Diceros bicornis minor: one gene and its partner. The protein of the gene in region 2 purifies or fractionates together with the protein of the main gene of each other region. This does not show direct contact. Links are inferred from orthologs where the notes say so. Each region holds a gene or a part of one and is shown on either strand. Other genes may lie near its edges.

Region 1 (8,053 bases), on a different chromosome or scaffold from region 2:
GACAAATCACTGGTGAAATCGATCACAAAAAAAGGGATAAGACATGAAAAACAATTTTAGGAATGAAAAAGGAGACAGAGCAGAGATTAAAAAAACAAAGAGCTTTCAAGAAACCTCCAGAAAAATTATTAAATAAAATTGACTCAAGGAAAACCTGAATAGTTTTATACCATTAACAACAAATTGAGTCCTTAGTTAAAATGTTTCCATACAGAAAACAACAGACTCAGGCAGTTTTATAGGTGAGTTCTATAAAATTTTAAAGAAATAGATCATTTCTGTCTAATATTAGTAAGTCTGTTAATGAATTAAACATATAAATAGATTAAAGAGATTTTTAAAACAATATTCTCAGTAGATGCAGAAAAATAATTTTGATACCTATTCAGATTAAAATTTATAACAAGTTAGAAATAGAAAGAGTAAATATTGTGCTCGATGGTGAAGTGTTAGAAGCATGCCTTTTCTGATCAGAAATGAGGCAGGGATGTCCAGAATCACTGTTTCTACTCCTCACTGTTCAGCAGGTCTTAGCTGGTTCAGTATAACAAGAAATAAGAGACACAAGGATTAGAAAGGAGAAACCAAGCTGTCTTTGTTCGGAGATGATAGATAGGGTTATACCTAGAAAACACCAAAAAACTGACAGACAAATTAAGAACTAATAAGCTAGTTAACCGAGTTCTGGAATCAATAAAGAAAAATTGATTGCTTTTCAAACTCTCCGGGAGTTTGGAGAGTAATGGTAAAAAATGGAAAAAATTTCCATTTACCATAGGGTCAAAAAAATATCGCACTAACAATAAAGTGAGAGAAAGTTCTGCAAGAGATGTCTCATGTCCCAGCAGAATGTGGAAACTGAGGCAAAGAGATGGAGCCCAGGCTGGCCGTGCAGAGCTGCTCAATTGTCGAACGTATGTGAACGTCAAGTCCAATGGCCTGTGAGGATGTCAGTTCAGGGTATTCCCTGTGGAATTCAGAGATGTAGGCCTCAGGCAACTGGGAAGGACCAGAACCAACAGGAACATCGGACAGAGCTGAGCTTGGGAGGCTGCTTGTTCTGGGCATTAAGGACCCACAGCTACTCCCCATGGTAATATAATCCCCGACGTCCTGATGCCCCTGGTTGCTTTATTCATCCATTGCCCCTTATCTAAGCTGCCCTCAGTGGCCTCCCCAATCCCCGTGAAAGGCCAGTGGTGCCGCTAACTAGGAGCATTCCCAGTTAGAGCAGCAGCAGGAGGCCTCTGCCCAGGTGAGTCTCTGCTCCCTTCCCTTAGCTCTAGCTAGATTGGAGGTCTGCTAACCTTTTCTGTAAAAAATAAGAAAGTAAATATTTCACACTTTGCAAGCTATGTGGTCTGTGTCGTAACCAGCAACTCCGTCATTATAGCACGAAAGCAGTCAAAGACAATGTGTAAACAATGAGTGTTGCTGTGTTTGAGTAAAACTTTATGGACACAGGGCTGGCCCCCTGGCTTAGCGGTTAAGTCCGCGCGCTCAGGCTCAGCTACTGGCGGCCCAGGTTCGGAGCCCGGGGGCGCACTGACGCACCGCTTGTCCGGCCATGCTGAGGCCGTGTCCCACATACAGCAACTAGAAGGATGTGCAACTATGACATACAACTATCTACTGGGGCTTCGGGGGGAAAAAAAGGAGGAGGATTGGCAATAGATGTTAGCTCAGAGCCGGTCTTCCTCAGCAAAAAGAGGAGGATTAGCATGGATGTTAGCTCAGGGCTGACCTTCCTCACAAAAAAAATAAATAAATAAAACTGTTTGAAAAAAAAAAAACTTTACGTACACAAATTCAAATTTCACATACTTTTCACATGCCAAAATATTATCCTTCTTTTGATTTTTTTCAACCATTAAAAAAATGTAAAAACCATTCTTACCCATAGGCCACACAAAAACAAAGACAGGCCTACCAGCTACAGGCAAGTTCGTCCATCCTTGCTTCATCTGGCCGCCCTCCAGCAGCAGAAGGTTGGGCTGGGTCTCTGAGGCCTGATCAGGAATGAAGGGTATCTTGAGAACATCAAGGGTTGCAAGTGCTGCTGGGAATAGGCTTCTGGAGATCCAGGGGGTTTTAAGCTGTCTTTGATAGCCTTCAGGGGCTTCCCTCACCCTAAGTTAAGGTCAGAACTTCTAAGGGCATTTGTGGCCCTCTGTGACCTGACCCCTGCCTGCAGGGCCACTTTCAGCTCCCCCTGCCTCCCTCAGGGGTTCCTGGGCTATGGTCCTTCTGTCAGGACTGTGCCTTTCCATGCTTTTCCCTCTCCTGGGAGTGGACCTGTGCCATTGCCTAGCTAGCCACAGCCCTAAGCCTGCCCCCTTCCCCAGGCTGAGCTGGGAGTCTCGGATGCTTCTCCCACATTGCTATGATTCACATCCCGCCTGCTGCAGCCTCCAGTGGCCTAACAGCTCTCTGTCCTGTTTGTGCATCTCTGCATCCCCAGGTGAGGCTCACAGCGGGGGCTTAGTGAGTGTCAGTGAATGGGAGAAGTCGTCCTGGAAGGCTTCCAGGAGAGAAAGTGGAATTTCTGTGCTGGGGCAAGATTTGAGACTTTCCCATTAAGAAACCCCTGAGGGCCAGGGCTGGCCCAGTTACATAGCCGTTAAGTTCCGCTTGGGTGGCCTAGGGTTCCTCAGTTCAGATCCTGGGCGCCGACCTAAGCACCGCTTGTCAAGCCATGCTGAGGCAGCGTCCCACCTAGAGCAACTAGAAAGATGTGCAACTATGACATGCAACTGTCTACTGGGGCTTTGGGGAGAAAAAGGGAACAAAGGAGGCAGATTGGCAACAGATGTAAGCTCAGGGCCAATCTTCCCCCCACATCCCCAAAAAAAGACTCTAAAGAAAAAACAAACCCCTGAGGAGTCTCTGGTCCCAGCACTGATCCACAGGAGTGATTCCTGCTCTGCTAAGGACTTGGGTCCTAGGAGGGGAGACAGCATCCCCACTCCATTTCTGGAGCAGGGAGCAAGGGAGTTAGTGGAGCAAAGGCTCTGAGTTGATGGACCCTGGGGTAGTCACTGGAGCCTTCCTTTCCCAGTTCACAGAACGTGCAGACTCACTTTCACCTCTTCACAGGACTGTGGGATGTTGTGAATGCTCTTTGAGCAGGGAGCAGATTTTTAATTGGCTAGGCCCCTTCTGCCCAGAGGGAAGAGAGAGGGTGTGTTGAGAGATGATGCTTCTGGTTTGAGATTTCCTTTGGGAACAGAACATCCTGAGACCTTCCTGGCAGCAGCACCCATGCACTTTCCCACACTCACTGACCCCTCCGAGCCTCAGGTTTCTCAAAGATCACAACGAAGGGGAGTAAAAGGGTAAGGAGAGATGAAATTGAGGTGATGGTGATGAAGTCTGGAGTGTGGGGCAAGAAAGAGGAAAGCAAGGGCCCTTTGTTCTTTGCAATTCAGCACAGGAAGGAAGAAAATATGAAGGAAGGGAGGCTGAACACCAGGGCCGTGACGGTGACGACGCCTGCGGGTGGGGGCGGGAATCCCTCCGCAGCATTCCAGGGGCAGGCAGAGTGGGCCAGGAGGGAGTTGATGGACATCTACAAGGTCAGAGCAGGGAGCGGCCCTTCTCTCGTGGTGGGGCTGTAGATCGGGTATGGTTCCGCACGATGAGGCCTTGGAAAGGCAAGGACAGCTTGCCAGCTGGGGGACACGCAAAAAGGGCAGAGCCAGGAGAGGCATGGAGTCCCGCAGCTCGGTGGGCAGGCGCACGGCCTGGGGGCCCCAGTGCCACAGCTGAAGGGGAACAACTTGGTTCTGGCCGCCCTCTGGCCAGCGTCTTCCTGCGGTCTCCAAGAGCCTCTGCCACCCTGCAGGGATCCCTGGAGACCCTGCCCTCCCCAAGTCTAGGCAGCTGCAGGAGGGAAGAAGGCGAAAAAAACGAAACAATTCTGAGAAACAGCTAGATGTGCTTGTGTAGGGAAGACGCAAGTCTCTGCGTTCCACACGAGTGGGCGGCTGCAGAGGCTGGGGAGGGTCCCTCCGGTAGCGGCCCCGTTCCCGGTCTCGGCTTGCTGAAGGCGGCGCCCGCAGAGCCGCCCCAACAGCCAGTGTGCTGTGTGATTGACGGGGAGAGGAGGGGTCGAGCAACCATTCCCTCTACGCTCCATCCCCGCCACGAGCCCGTCCCGGGTAGCTAAGCCTGGTGGGTGGGGAAGAGGGTCCCGCCTTCCGACTGGACCTAACAGTAAAAGGAATTGGGGTACCCTTTACCTCCCCGGGAACCATGGCAGAACGGTCGCGGGGCGGAGCCGCAGCACACGCCGCAGCGGGCGGGGCGGAGCCTCGAGGGAACGGGCGGGGAGGAGGCGGGGCCTCCGAGGCGGGCCTGGAAACTGCTGGAAGTAATCGCAGTACCGCCGTCGTCGCTCCTTCCGCCGCGCGCGGGCAAAGAGTCCCCCGCCAGCCTAGGCCGGCGCCCCTCCCCCAGCCAGAGCCACACCTCGTAGCGAAACGCCGGTCTTTTCCCCTGTCCCCGAGAGGGCCGGGACCCCGGGGCTGCCCATAGCTGGGCCTCGATTTCCGCACCGTCCCCGGAGAAAACCCCTCCCCCTTATCGGGATGTAGGAATGCGTAGGGCAGATTCTAGGAGAGAGGTCGAGCCTGGGAACGGAGGTCGGAGTGGTTGGCCGCCTCCACCCCTGTTGTTAGGTGTCCCTCGAAGGCGGGACTCTTGGGTGTCCTTGCCCCACAGATCTTTAGGGAGGTCAGTGGGACGCTGGCCCCTAGATCCACCGCTTATGTCACATGAGCATTCTCAATCTCTAGCTCAGGTGGGGTCATGCCTTGGAAGCGCTGAGACGCGTACGCTCTACATGCACACCAAGGACAGCTGCTCTCGCCTTTCACCGCCCCCACCGCTACTTTGGACCATGACGTCAAGGTAGGCGGGCGGCGGCAGGTGCGGGGCTGACAGGCATCCTCCTTTAGAGCGGAGGGATCCGGGGGCGGGCAGCTGGGCTGTGCTTCGCCTTATATAGAGCGACTAGGGGCGCACAACCGCTCTCTTGAGTCACCCCCTCGCAGGCCCGTTGTGGCGTGTGAGCCGGCCACAGTCTGCCCACCTTGCTCCTGTAGTCTTTGCCATCCTTCCCCGTTAAGGTAAGGCCGCGGTTTTCTCCTTCCGGCGTTTCTGTCTTGAGCCCTCTTTCGAGTTGCTTTCGTCCCCCCGTCCTTTCCAAAGGCCTAATTTTCTTCACTGGGGCGGCCTTTAGGATACCACTCCTCCTGATTTCTCTCGGAAGTGGGTGGGAGGGACCCCTCGAGGTTGGCATGTTTTTCTCCTATGCTTGGGTGGCAGGCCTTCTCTCAGGCGGCGACTATCTACGGGCGAGATGGGCCTCGGCGTGGGGCTGGGTAGTGGGCAGCTGCACGTGGTGGCCGCGCCGGCCCGGGACGCTGCCATGTTTGCTCCTCCACTTCCGGACGCGACTACGGGGCGCCGGAGGGTCCGCAAGGGTCGTGGGTGTGCGCGCTCGGCGTGACTCAGCTCGGCCTGGTGCTGGCCTGGTTTTGCCACCTCTTGTATGAGACGCGTTTTTCAAGTCTAGTCGGTTCCTTCATGTGAGGGTCCGCGACGAGGAACGCTTTCGATCTCTTGTGGCCCGTCGTGCTTTCTCCTTCCAGATCTTTCTTGCAGTCCTGGTGGAGGAGGAGGGGAGGGGGCAGGCTCTGGGAGATTAATGGGCTCTTTGCTCCCCCGCCCCTCTCCGAGAGCTGAGATTGTTCTGGAAGCTTCTGGAGCCCGGCGCCCCGCCCTGGTGCTCGGATGCTGGGGCGAAGGGAGGCTGCGCGGCGGCGCCCCCTCCTCGTGTGTCCCCGGCCGACGCATGTCCGGCAGTGACGAGGGTCGGCCTGGTGGACCACGGCCACCATCTTAGTTGTGTTTGGTTTGGCACTCTACTTTGGTCACATGTGTTGAGGTGTCGCGATGGAGCTTTTGCTTTATCGGTTCTTTGTCTTAATAGCACCCTGGGCGGGTATCCCACTCATCTTAGGGGTTATCCTCCTCTAGTGTGTGAGGCTGCAATGTCACTTTCCCTCGACGTAGGAGATAATCTAGTGGGAGAGCAGTTTCAAATCATTGCCGTTTTAAAAGTAGTCACGTTGGGTTTTTTTTGCCATGTCAAAAAAGGTAATACAATTGTAGTTAGTGATTTCCACATTGAAAGGTGCGTGTGGATTATCTGGGACTCTCTCTCGTTCAAGATAATCTGCATTAGGTGTAGTCTTACAGTTCTAACAAAGCTCCTAGGTGATGCTGAGGCTTCTGGTCCATGGACCACTTAGAGTAGTTTGGATCCAAGATACTTTCCAAAAGACCTGACCTCATATTTTGTTGAACATGTTGGTTTTTCTGTTCTCCCAATTGGTTTCCCGCTGAGGGTGCAGCCTGAAATCTTTTGAAGGAAAGGGTCTTCAGTCTCTTGAGAATGGATACCAGGCAGCTCAAAGCAGTTTGAACTAAATCTCTTCATCTTCATTGTGACTGGGGTGAACTTGAGGAGTCTTAAATTTGAGATCATGGTGTTCTTTAGTAATCCTTGACCATTCTTATTTTAGATGCCTGAGGAAGTGCACCATGGAGAGGAGGAGGTGGAGACTTTCGCCTTTCAGGCGGAAATTGCGCAGCTCATGTCTCTCATCATCAATACCTTCTATTCAAACAAGGAAATTTTCCTTCGGGAGTTGATCAGTAATGCGTCTGATGTGAGTGCTCAGAGCGTTGTCTTGGGTGTTGTTTTTTTTAGCACTCCAGAAAAGGGAAGAGGGGGTGGTTTGGTATTTTGTAGGGCCTGCTATTGAAGGGGATAAATCTGCTGCAGTTACAAAAGGGTTTGCCTTGTTCCACTTCGATAGAGAAGATATTGTAACTGTAACTGGTTCTTAAATGTCAAGGGATAATCAGAATTGAGGCTATTTGGGAGTAAAAATGGAAAAAGTTTTCTTTTGGATGAAGGGAAGGGCTTTAGGAAAGCAGAATTGTAAGTTGCAATTTATGTTTTCAGGCCTTGGACAAGATTCGCTATGAGAGCCTGACAGACCCTTCCAAGTTGGACAGTGGTAAAGAGTTGAAAATTGACATCATCCCCAACCCCCAGGAACGCACCCTGACACTGGTGGACACAGGCATTGGTATGACCAAAGCTGATCTCATAAATAATTTGGGAACCATTGCCAAGTCTGGTACTAAAGCATTTATGGAGGCTCTTCAGGTATGTGATATTTTAGCTAGGCAGGCACAATTCCTCATTATCAGTGTTCTTTAGCTTGCTATTTCTTCAAAATTTGTGTTTAACTTTTTAACTTTGGCAGGCTGGTGCAGACATTTCCATGATTGGACAATTTGGTGTTGGTTTTTATTCTGCTTACCTGGTGGCAGAGAAAGTGGTTGTGATCACAAAGCACAATGATGATGAGCAGTATGCCTGGGAGTCTTCTGCTGGGGGTTCCTTTACTGTGCGTGCTGACCATGGTAAGTAGGCTATCCTGTTGAGATATCTGGGTTAGAGTTCTGGGGAAGCCTATAATAGAGATTTTGAGCATCTTATCTATAAAGCAGTTATCTTTTGGTATAGTTCTGGGTTTAGTTTCATCTTTACTTCACTGTGATTGACTTTCTAGGTGAGCCCATTGGCCGGGGTACCAAAGTGATCCTCCACCTTAAAGAAGACCAGACAGAGTACTTAGAGGAGAGGCGGGTCAAAGAAGTGGTGAAGAAGCACTCACAGTTCATAGGTTATCCCATCACCCTTTATGTGAGTATGGGCTGGTAACTCTCACATGGATGATGTCTGCTGCTCTGGAAAATTGCATGGTCCTGATTTTTGTGTTTCTCCTAGTATTCTGTATTCTGAAACTATTGTCTTTGGTACATTCAGTTGGAGAAAGAACGAGAGAAAGAAATCAGTGATGACGAGGCAGAGGAAGAAAAAGGTGAGAAAGAAGAGGAAGATAAAGATGAGGAGGAGAAGCCCAAGATCGAAGATGTGGGCTCAGATGAGGAGGATGATAGTAGTAAGGAT
Region 2 (8,002 bases):
TTGTACACAAGGGACTGTGTCCCACAGCTCTGAGAGGCTGCCTGGCTGTTATCACTACAGGCACCAGATGTGCAACCCTCCACCTCCAGCTGGACCTGAAACACTTCAACTCTCTACTCCAGCTGCTGATGGCTTTGGAGCTCCCGCAACAGGACTGGGGATGCTGTCATGGAATGCCAGAAAGTGGGCAGGCATGAGGAGACAGGTTGTCAGCTGGGTCCCCTAGGTCACCTCAGGCCTGGTAGAGAGCAGTGACTCTAGGAGGGTCAGCTGTGGCTGAGACCCCCAGGTCACTAAAGGTTTCAGTATCTAGGCCATCACAGGGTGGCGCTGTCCACACCCTCACATGGGGTAGGGATGCTGGGTACCTCCCCTAGAAGCCTCAGCTTGCATAGTCCCCTTGCTCTCCCTGGGGACTGCAGCTTTCACCAGGGGCCACTGAGCTTCTAAGGAAACTCTTCTGTCCACTGAGCTAAAACAAGCCACCTCCCTCCAACTCTCTCTGGGGGAGGGTCTCCACAGGGACCACGGCCCTTCCTTTGCCTCCATCCAGTGCCCCTAGCCACACCAGGCATGCACTGCACACCTCCAAGGGGCGCCATTCACAGAGGACACTGTTCACAGCAGCCCTGTTGGGGACTTGATCCCCCTTGGTCTCCTTTGGATGCCCCAGACCCTGACAAGCCTCCTTCCTGAGAGCATGACACCAGGTGCAGTTCAGCCTGGTAAGGGGACCTTGCTAGCTCAGGGGACCTCCCAGGGGTTGCGGACAAGCCAGGCAGATCAAGGAGAGAGGACGGAGCCTCACTTTCTGCTTCAGAGCCAGCAGCTCATGCCGGGCCCTGCCAAGTCCTGCTCGCCCTCCTGCCTCTGCAGCACTTGCACTTGCTCCGACCGGGCCTCCAGTGCCGCCTGCAGGTGGCCAGCCAGCTCGGCCGATGCCACCTGCTCTTTGCCAGCCACACCCACAGGTCCTTCTCTGACCGCCTCCAGTCCCGCCGGGGGGGCCCTGTCTGAGCATCTCCCAGAAGAGAGGAGCAGTGCATGCCTCAGCCAGGCCCCGGGGCTGCTGGGCCCACCTTTCCCACACTCACCTGCGCCTTTCAGGGGGGCTCAGTGGGCAGGCACAGTCCAGTGGCCAGAAGTGACGGTGGGGACAGCAGGCGGAGCTGGGCATCTGGTGGGCTCTGCCTTAGGAGGTCCTGAGAGCAGGGCAGATGGTAGCCCCTGGAGCTGGCGCAGGCCTGCCCTCCCAGAGCACCAGCCGCTGAGGCCCCTACTCAGAGGTGGCAACTGAGCCCTGAAGCTGCGCGTGCACTTAAACTCTTCAACCCAACTCCTTGGCCCAGGATTTTCCCAGGTGATTCAGATTTCAAATCAACACCCCAGCCTCAGCTCTGCTAAACAGTTCTCAGTTTGAGCAGTTTCCAGGAGCTGGGTGCTGACTATGGCCTGGCCACTTGAACAACCAAGCTCACTTATTCTCTCGGGTTTGAGGAGGTGGGAGGGAAGCTCAGCAGGGGCAGTAGGTTGCCCCAGGTCATGCAGGGAGTCCACTGTGAACTGGGCCCACGCCCCCCCACCCCTGCTGCTCTCCTTCCCAGTGTGGGAGTCTGGAAATGGCAAGGGTCAGGGAAACATTTGGAGGACACCGTAGTTGAGCTCTGATGTGGGGGTCAGAATCCCTCACATCAAGTCATTGCTCTGGTACCTCTCTGGCTTCCATAACTGCAGCTTTCAGATGGGGGCCCCGACTGCCAAGCCCCACCAGCTTGGTAAGGGAACTCATGGGGTAGATAGGGGCTGCTCAGCTGGTGTTGCCCCCCACTCTACTCCTCCTTACCCCCACCCACTTCACCTCCAGGATTTAGGTGTCAGAATCCCGCCATTTCACCCTACCCACAGCCCTGGGCACCAGGCACCTGCCCCAGCAATGTGTGGGCTTAGGAAGAGGGCACCCCTGAGGAGAGGATGTACTGGGCTGAGCTCCCCCCACTTGACTTGCCCACTGCTCACATTCCCAGACCGGCTCCCTGCTCCTCGCTCAGGATGGCACCACCACCTACCAGGCCCTCCCCCCTCTAGACACCTTGACTGTCCTCTCCCCGGACTCTGGGCCCAGATTCCTGCAGCCCCCTCCTGAGCTGTCTCCCCACATTTCACCATCACACAGGGCCTCTCCAAAATGGACCATGAAGACTGGCCCCGCCCCAACCTGCCATGCCCTGGCGCAGCACACACAACTCCTGGCTGGCTGCTCTGTCTTCCCACTTAGAAGTGGGGCCTCTCCACGGTTGTCCCAGCCGTCACTGAGAACCCGAGCTCTGCTGGCTTGGTTTTGGAGGGGCCCATGGTCTGCTGGAGTGGGGAGTGGCACAGGGCAGACTGCCAAGCTTGTGCAGCCAGCACAGAGGAAAACACAGCCACCGAGTGCCGTGCAAGCACAGGAAAGGGGAGCCTGACTCTCCCGTGGGGTCCCCAGGAAGACTTCCCAGAGAGGTGACCCTGGGGCTTAGGCTGCAAGGTGAATTAACTGCCCCAGTGAAGGCACAGATGGATGTAGCAGAAAGGAGAGAGCAAGGGCAGCAGGACAAGGAGGGACCAGATGAGCTGGCGCCTGGAGGGGGCAGCGGGCTGAGCCAGGAGGGCAAAAGGGAGATTGAGAGGGGCAAGTGGCTGGTGGCAGGGCCCAGGGCAGGGGCATGTCCCTGGTGCCCTTGAATCATGCTGCAGTCCTCAGCCCACACAGAAAAGACTTGGTGGGCACAAGTGTTGAGGCCTGGGAAACAGCTTGGGCCTGAGGGGCAGAGGATTTCAGAGCAAGCCTCCTCCGGAGGTGGCCCACCCCGAGCTCCCCAGGCTCGAGTTGCCAAGGTGTCAGCCATCAGCACTGGAGGAATGAGGTGGGAGAAGGGGCCTGGGGGTGCTGGTAGTTACCCATACTTCACCTCAGAGTAGATCTTGGTGCCTATCTGATATTCTGTCTCTCTTTCTTCTAGGAATGAGTTCTTTTAGGAATAGAGACAAAAGAATGAAGGTCTAATGGTAAAATCTCAGGCGGGACAGCTGCTGGACTGCAGATTTTGGAGAGGAGTTGGGAGATGGCTCCTATGCCACTTCAGAAAAAGAGAGAACTGCTTCGTTACTGGGAGGCAAAGACGCCTGGGTTCTCGATGGTGGGAGGGCTGGTGGGAAGATGGGCCCCTCAGAGCCTGGCCCCCAGGGCAGGGCAGGGCAGGAGACAGGAGCCTCTCTGAGCTCCTCTGCCCTCAGCTGCCGACGTGGTCCTGGCTTCCAGGGGCCATGGAAACCGCGGGAAACACGAAGCGGTGGGAGGAGGAGACACCAGAGTCCTCCCACATCGTCTGACTGGGTGACACCCTGAGATGAACCCCTGCTAGAGTGGCCGCGGCCACAGACCAAGCATCGGGGCCGGGCAAGAATGGCAACTGGGAACCTCCGGCCCCTGAGGCGGGATCCCGAGGGCCGGGCTCTCGGTCACGCACCGCGCACTTGAAGAGGCTCCGGAATTGCTACGTTGGGGCGGGTGCATTTGGTTGGAAGGGGACCAGGAGCCGGCCTTGAGGCCGCGTTAGCGTAGCAAGCATCCTGTTTTTACTTAGCTTCGGTTGTTGACTTCGGTTGTGGCTAACGGAGATTTGAGGGGTACTAGGCACCCTCTCAAGCCACGCCTTCAGACCCCAGTTTAGAGGGAAGCCAGAGGCTAAGGACTCAAAAGACCGCCGCAACTCCGTGAGAGCCTCGGCGCGGGCCGCGCCCGCCGGGCGGGGAGACACCGCCTCGCGTCAGGGGCGTGCCCAGCCCTCATGGGGCGGGGCCGCAGGGGCGGCCCGTGCCCGCGGCGCTGGGGAAGCCCCGGCCACTCTCGCGGAGTCGCCCCGGGGGACGGGGCCTGTAGCGATGCCCCGCCCTCCTGCTCCGGCCCCTGCGTGGCGTGGGGGCAATTAGGGGCCGCTCCCGCCGGCTTCGCTGAGGGGACGCCAGCCCCGCCCGGCGGGGCGTGCACGCCCCGAACCGTGAGGTCTCGCGAAGGATTCGGCCTGTTTCCTCATCCGGAAAACGGGGGCCTCGTTATCCCGCCCTGACCGGCGCGGGACAGTCGGTGGGAGGGGTTTTGGTGATCCCACGCTCGCGACCTCGGCTGAAGGGGTCGTCGAGTGACTCGGCGCAGAAATGGCCGAAGGCCTGACGGCGGCAGGGCGCGGGGTTTATTAGCTGAGAACCATTGCTGGCCCGCTGACTGCGGTGCTCAAGGAAAGGGGCCCCCCCTGTAGCCCAGACCCCATCCTCCGAGGCCCCGCCGACGGGGCTCTCGGGCATCTTCCCAGACACTGCTCTGCATGCACCTGGAAGCTTGGGCGTGCCGCCATGGCTTTAAAACCCCCCCACACAAGGAGAATAAGGTCTCATTTGCTTCTTTCACGTAACCGGGTGATGACCGCCTTCCCGAGCCTCAGGCACAGAGCTCCATCCTCTTTAGCGCCCTCCTGGGCCCCGGCACCGGGCGAGCGTTCAAGGTCCACCCGGTTCTCACTGAGCCGACAGCGAAACAATGCCCTGCCCGCGCGCAGGAAGGGTTGGCGGGCACGGGCGGGGTCGGGGCGGCAGAGCGGGCCAGCCCCCGGCCAGGTCGGGGCTCCACCTTCCGGCTCCTAGCGCCCGCCGGCGGGGGACGGCGCCTCTGTCGCGTCTTTGGGGCCTACGTGCGTCGCGACACGGCGCGGGGCGGGCCGCGGCCTGGGACGTCCCCTCGGCTCTCCCGGAACCAGTCTCCACGACTGCCGCACCGACCGGGGCGGAGAAGGCGGGTCCTCCAGAGCCTTCGAGGCGGGGGCTAGAGCGGCCAGGCCACCGAGGCGGGTCGAGCCGGGGCTGGCGACGGCTGCGTCATGCGAAGGGCGGGGCCGCCACGGGCGGAGGCCGGAGCCGGAAGCGGAAGAGGCGCTCGGAGCTGGGAGTGGGGCCTAGCTGCAGCCGGAGCCTGGGAGACGGTGAGTGTGGGCCCGGGCCCGCGAGGGCGGCGGCGGCGGCGGCGGGGTCTGAGTCGTCGGGGCGGGCTCGCTGGGTGCGGTACCCCGGGCTCCTGGTTCGGTCTTGGCCTCCTCTCGTTCCTTCTCGTCGGCTCAGTTCAGGCCGCGGCCCCGACCTCTCACCCCTGACCCGCCACTTCTCCCCCGGAGGGCGGTCACCACAGACCCCGACCTCTCGATCCCGCGGTGTCGGAGTCCGAGTCTGAGGGGCCTCTGAGGTCCCTGCAGGGATCCAGTTTCGGCCCTGCACCTGCCCGAGGAAATGGGGTCGGGGTCCTACGCGGGATAGCCTGGAGGGGCCTTCAGACCCCACCCCCCCAACTCCCCTCGAGGCTTGTTCCGCAGACGACTCCTTCCTGCGCGTCCTGGCGTTTGATTCTGCTCCAGGCTGGCCTTCCTCCTGCCCCCCAGATCTCCCCTTGCTGCCATTGGCGGCGGTTACGGGCCACCGGGCTCTGGGACCTGAGGTGACAGGAAGGGACGCCAGCGAGGGCCGCGGGCTCCCTGCGTGTTTTGTTGTGATGGTGGAGCCGTTCCAGCCCGGGGGAGGGGCCTGGCCAAGCTGACGGTACAAATGCCCCGGCTGCTCTTCGGCCCGAGCGGCCCGGGAGTCTCTGTGCTTTAGTTCCGGGTGTGGGTGCCCTGGTGTGGAGCTGGGTTGGGGATTGCCTGAGCCAGGCCCCCGTCGAGGCGGAGTTGGCGGCCTTCCAGCTTCCCTTCTCCATGCCCTTGAAAAGGAGGAGCGTTTCACCCGGTGGTGGCAGCTTGCAAGGTGGCAGGTTTGAGGTTGCAGTGGTGGGGCAGCGTCAGCCAAAAATAACCATGGGGCGCTGGGGTGGTAGGGATCCGGGAGGGCAGCCGCTGACCTGGCTGGCTGCTCTTCTTGTCAGCCCAGTTCTCTGGCCAGGAACGGCAGATGAGAAGCCAGCTCGGCCTGTGCTCAGAGAAAAGCTGGCATCTTCCGCCTGGTTTCCTTCATATTACCTTTCTCTTCATTGTGCAGAGCAGAGCTCTCTGGAGCATAATTGTGGCCCTTAGCATTTTGAAATAACCCGTTTGCTGTGGTCTCAGAGAATCAGAGATAATTGATGAGAAATGGGCCCTAGGGGCCGGCCCCATGGCGCAAGCAGTTAAGTGCGCGCTCTCCGCTGCGGCGGCCCGGGGTTCGCCGGTTCGGATCCCGGGTGCGCACCCACACACCGCTTGTCAAGCCACGCTATGGCGGCGTCCTATATAAAGTGGAGGAAGATAGGCACGGATGTTAGCCCAGGGCCAGTCTTCCTCAGCGAAAAAAGAGGAGGATTGGCAGATGTTAGCACAGGGCTGATCTCCTCACAAAAAAAAAAAAAAAGAAAAAACAAATGGGCCCTAGAGCCCTGGCTGGGAAGATAATGAGGGGCATGTAGTATTTCCAGTGTTTCACTTGCCTAGAATGTGTTAAAGGAGAGGTTATTTTCTTTGATTGCCTTGTGTGTGGTACTTCATAGCTCTCATACTTGTCATCTCCTTTGCCAAGTTGGCTGGGAGGTGGTGGTGTCTCCATTTTCCAGGTATAGTAACCAAGGCCTAGAGTGACTTGTATAAGGTCAGGAGGCCAGTAAGTGGCAGCACTGGGATTTAGTTTAGGGTTTTCTACTTAGAGCCTGCACCTTCACCCCCCCAACCTTGGAAAGGACTTTGGAATCTTTTTAATGTTGTTAACGAAAAGCTGCCTTCAGTACTTCTTGTGGGCCCAGACCTGTGCTAGGCATTTGACCTGAAGGCATGTGCTAGGCATGTACTTAAAGGAGTAACATAATTTAATCTTCACAGAACCCTGTAAGAAATTACTATTCCCTTGTTGCAAGAGGAAGCTGAAGGTCAGAGTAGTCTAATAACTTGCCTAAAGGCACACAGCGAGAAGTGGCAGTGCCAGGATTCAGATTGACATCTATCTAACTCTGAAGACGTCTTCTCTCCACTAATATCACCATGTGTGGACATAAGATCTTCTAGGTCCCAGGAGGGAGTCTTAGGCCTAGGACTAGACCATGTCCTCCAGCTCTGTCTGTGCAGTCAGGATAGGCAGGGCGTCTGCCCTGGCTACTGGAGCATCTTCCATGTCACTTAGTGAGTGAGATGTGAGATAGCACCTTCATTCCATAGCTTGGGCACCTGACCAGGGTCATTGCAGAAAAACAGTGAAACATTAGTCAGCTGAGCATCAAAACAGAAGAGCAGTCTAAGCTCTTGAGGAGTTGCCAGTGATTTTACATAGTATTTGTCTCGAAGGATCACGAGGGCCTGGACTTCCAAGTAGACAGGGGAAGACACGTGCTAATGGGGAAATTGAGGGCAGTGACTTTCTCAGGATCAAGGAGAAGCTCCCAGGGGTTTGGTCAGATATGCCTTGCTGTCATGCTGTTCCAAGGGGAGACGTTGTGCTCTCCTCCTGACAAACCCTTCTCATGAGATGGGGCAGCCTCACTGGGTTTGTCCAAAATGTGCTTGGTCAAGCAAGCCCAGGACTGACTACCACTGGAGGTTGGCAGAGAGGCTGGCCACGATCTCTGGCCCAGCCTTCCCCTGGAGGCAATGTCAGGGTTTTGGCTGTGGGTGGAACAGGGAGCTGGCCTCACATAGCCATCTTTCTCAGCTGGTAGCCGATCCAACCTGGCAATTTCCTGTGGTGGGTGTAAGTCCCTGCTGAACAGGGATAGTGAGGTGGGGCCCTTTTGGCCTGCCTCCCGAGCACAGAAGCCTGCCAGACAGCCAACCCTTTGGCTACTCCTGAGATGGGTGCAGGAGAGGCTACTGGAACAGGGGAGCTAGAAGAAGGGACAGTAGAGGTACTGTCGGATAGAGGTGAGGTGCTGCCTGGCATGGCGCTGCAGTGGTCTGAGAGCGCTAAATGGGCATTGGGCAAGACACTTGGATGCTCTGAGGACCCTGGCATCTTTACTGGTGCTGAG

The links.
Region 1: the proteins of CLK3 (region 2) and HSP90AB1 purify together in Homo sapiens (affinity purification with mass spectrometry; 3 studies listed by BioGRID and IntAct, with this or other methods). This does not show direct contact. The link is inferred for Diceros bicornis minor from reciprocal best matches to the Homo sapiens genes CLK3 and HSP90AB1.

The regions. Positions count from the first base shown.
Region 1 is NC_080753.1:21,617,772-21,625,824, reverse strand, and holds the start of HSP90AB1 (heat shock protein HSP 90-beta), read left to right. Parts: upstream 1-5,033; 5' UTR 5,034-5,129; intron 5,130-6,590; coding exon 6,591-6,737; intron 6,738-7,036; coding exon 7,037-7,243; intron 7,244-7,343; coding exon 7,344-7,503; intron 7,504-7,652; coding exon 7,653-7,786; intron 7,787-7,909; coding exon 7,910-8,053. UniProt on the Homo sapiens protein: Molecular chaperone that promotes the maturation, structural maintenance and proper regulation of specific target proteins involved for instance in cell cycle control and signal transduction. Undergoes a functional cycle linked to its ATPase activity.
Region 2 is NC_080744.1:67,562,811-67,570,812, forward strand, and holds the start of CLK3 (dual specificity protein kinase CLK3), read left to right. Parts: upstream 1-4,910; coding exon 4,911-5,012; intron 5,013-8,002. UniProt on the Homo sapiens protein: Dual specificity kinase acting on both serine/threonine and tyrosine-containing substrates. Phosphorylates serine- and arginine-rich (SR) proteins of the spliceosomal complex.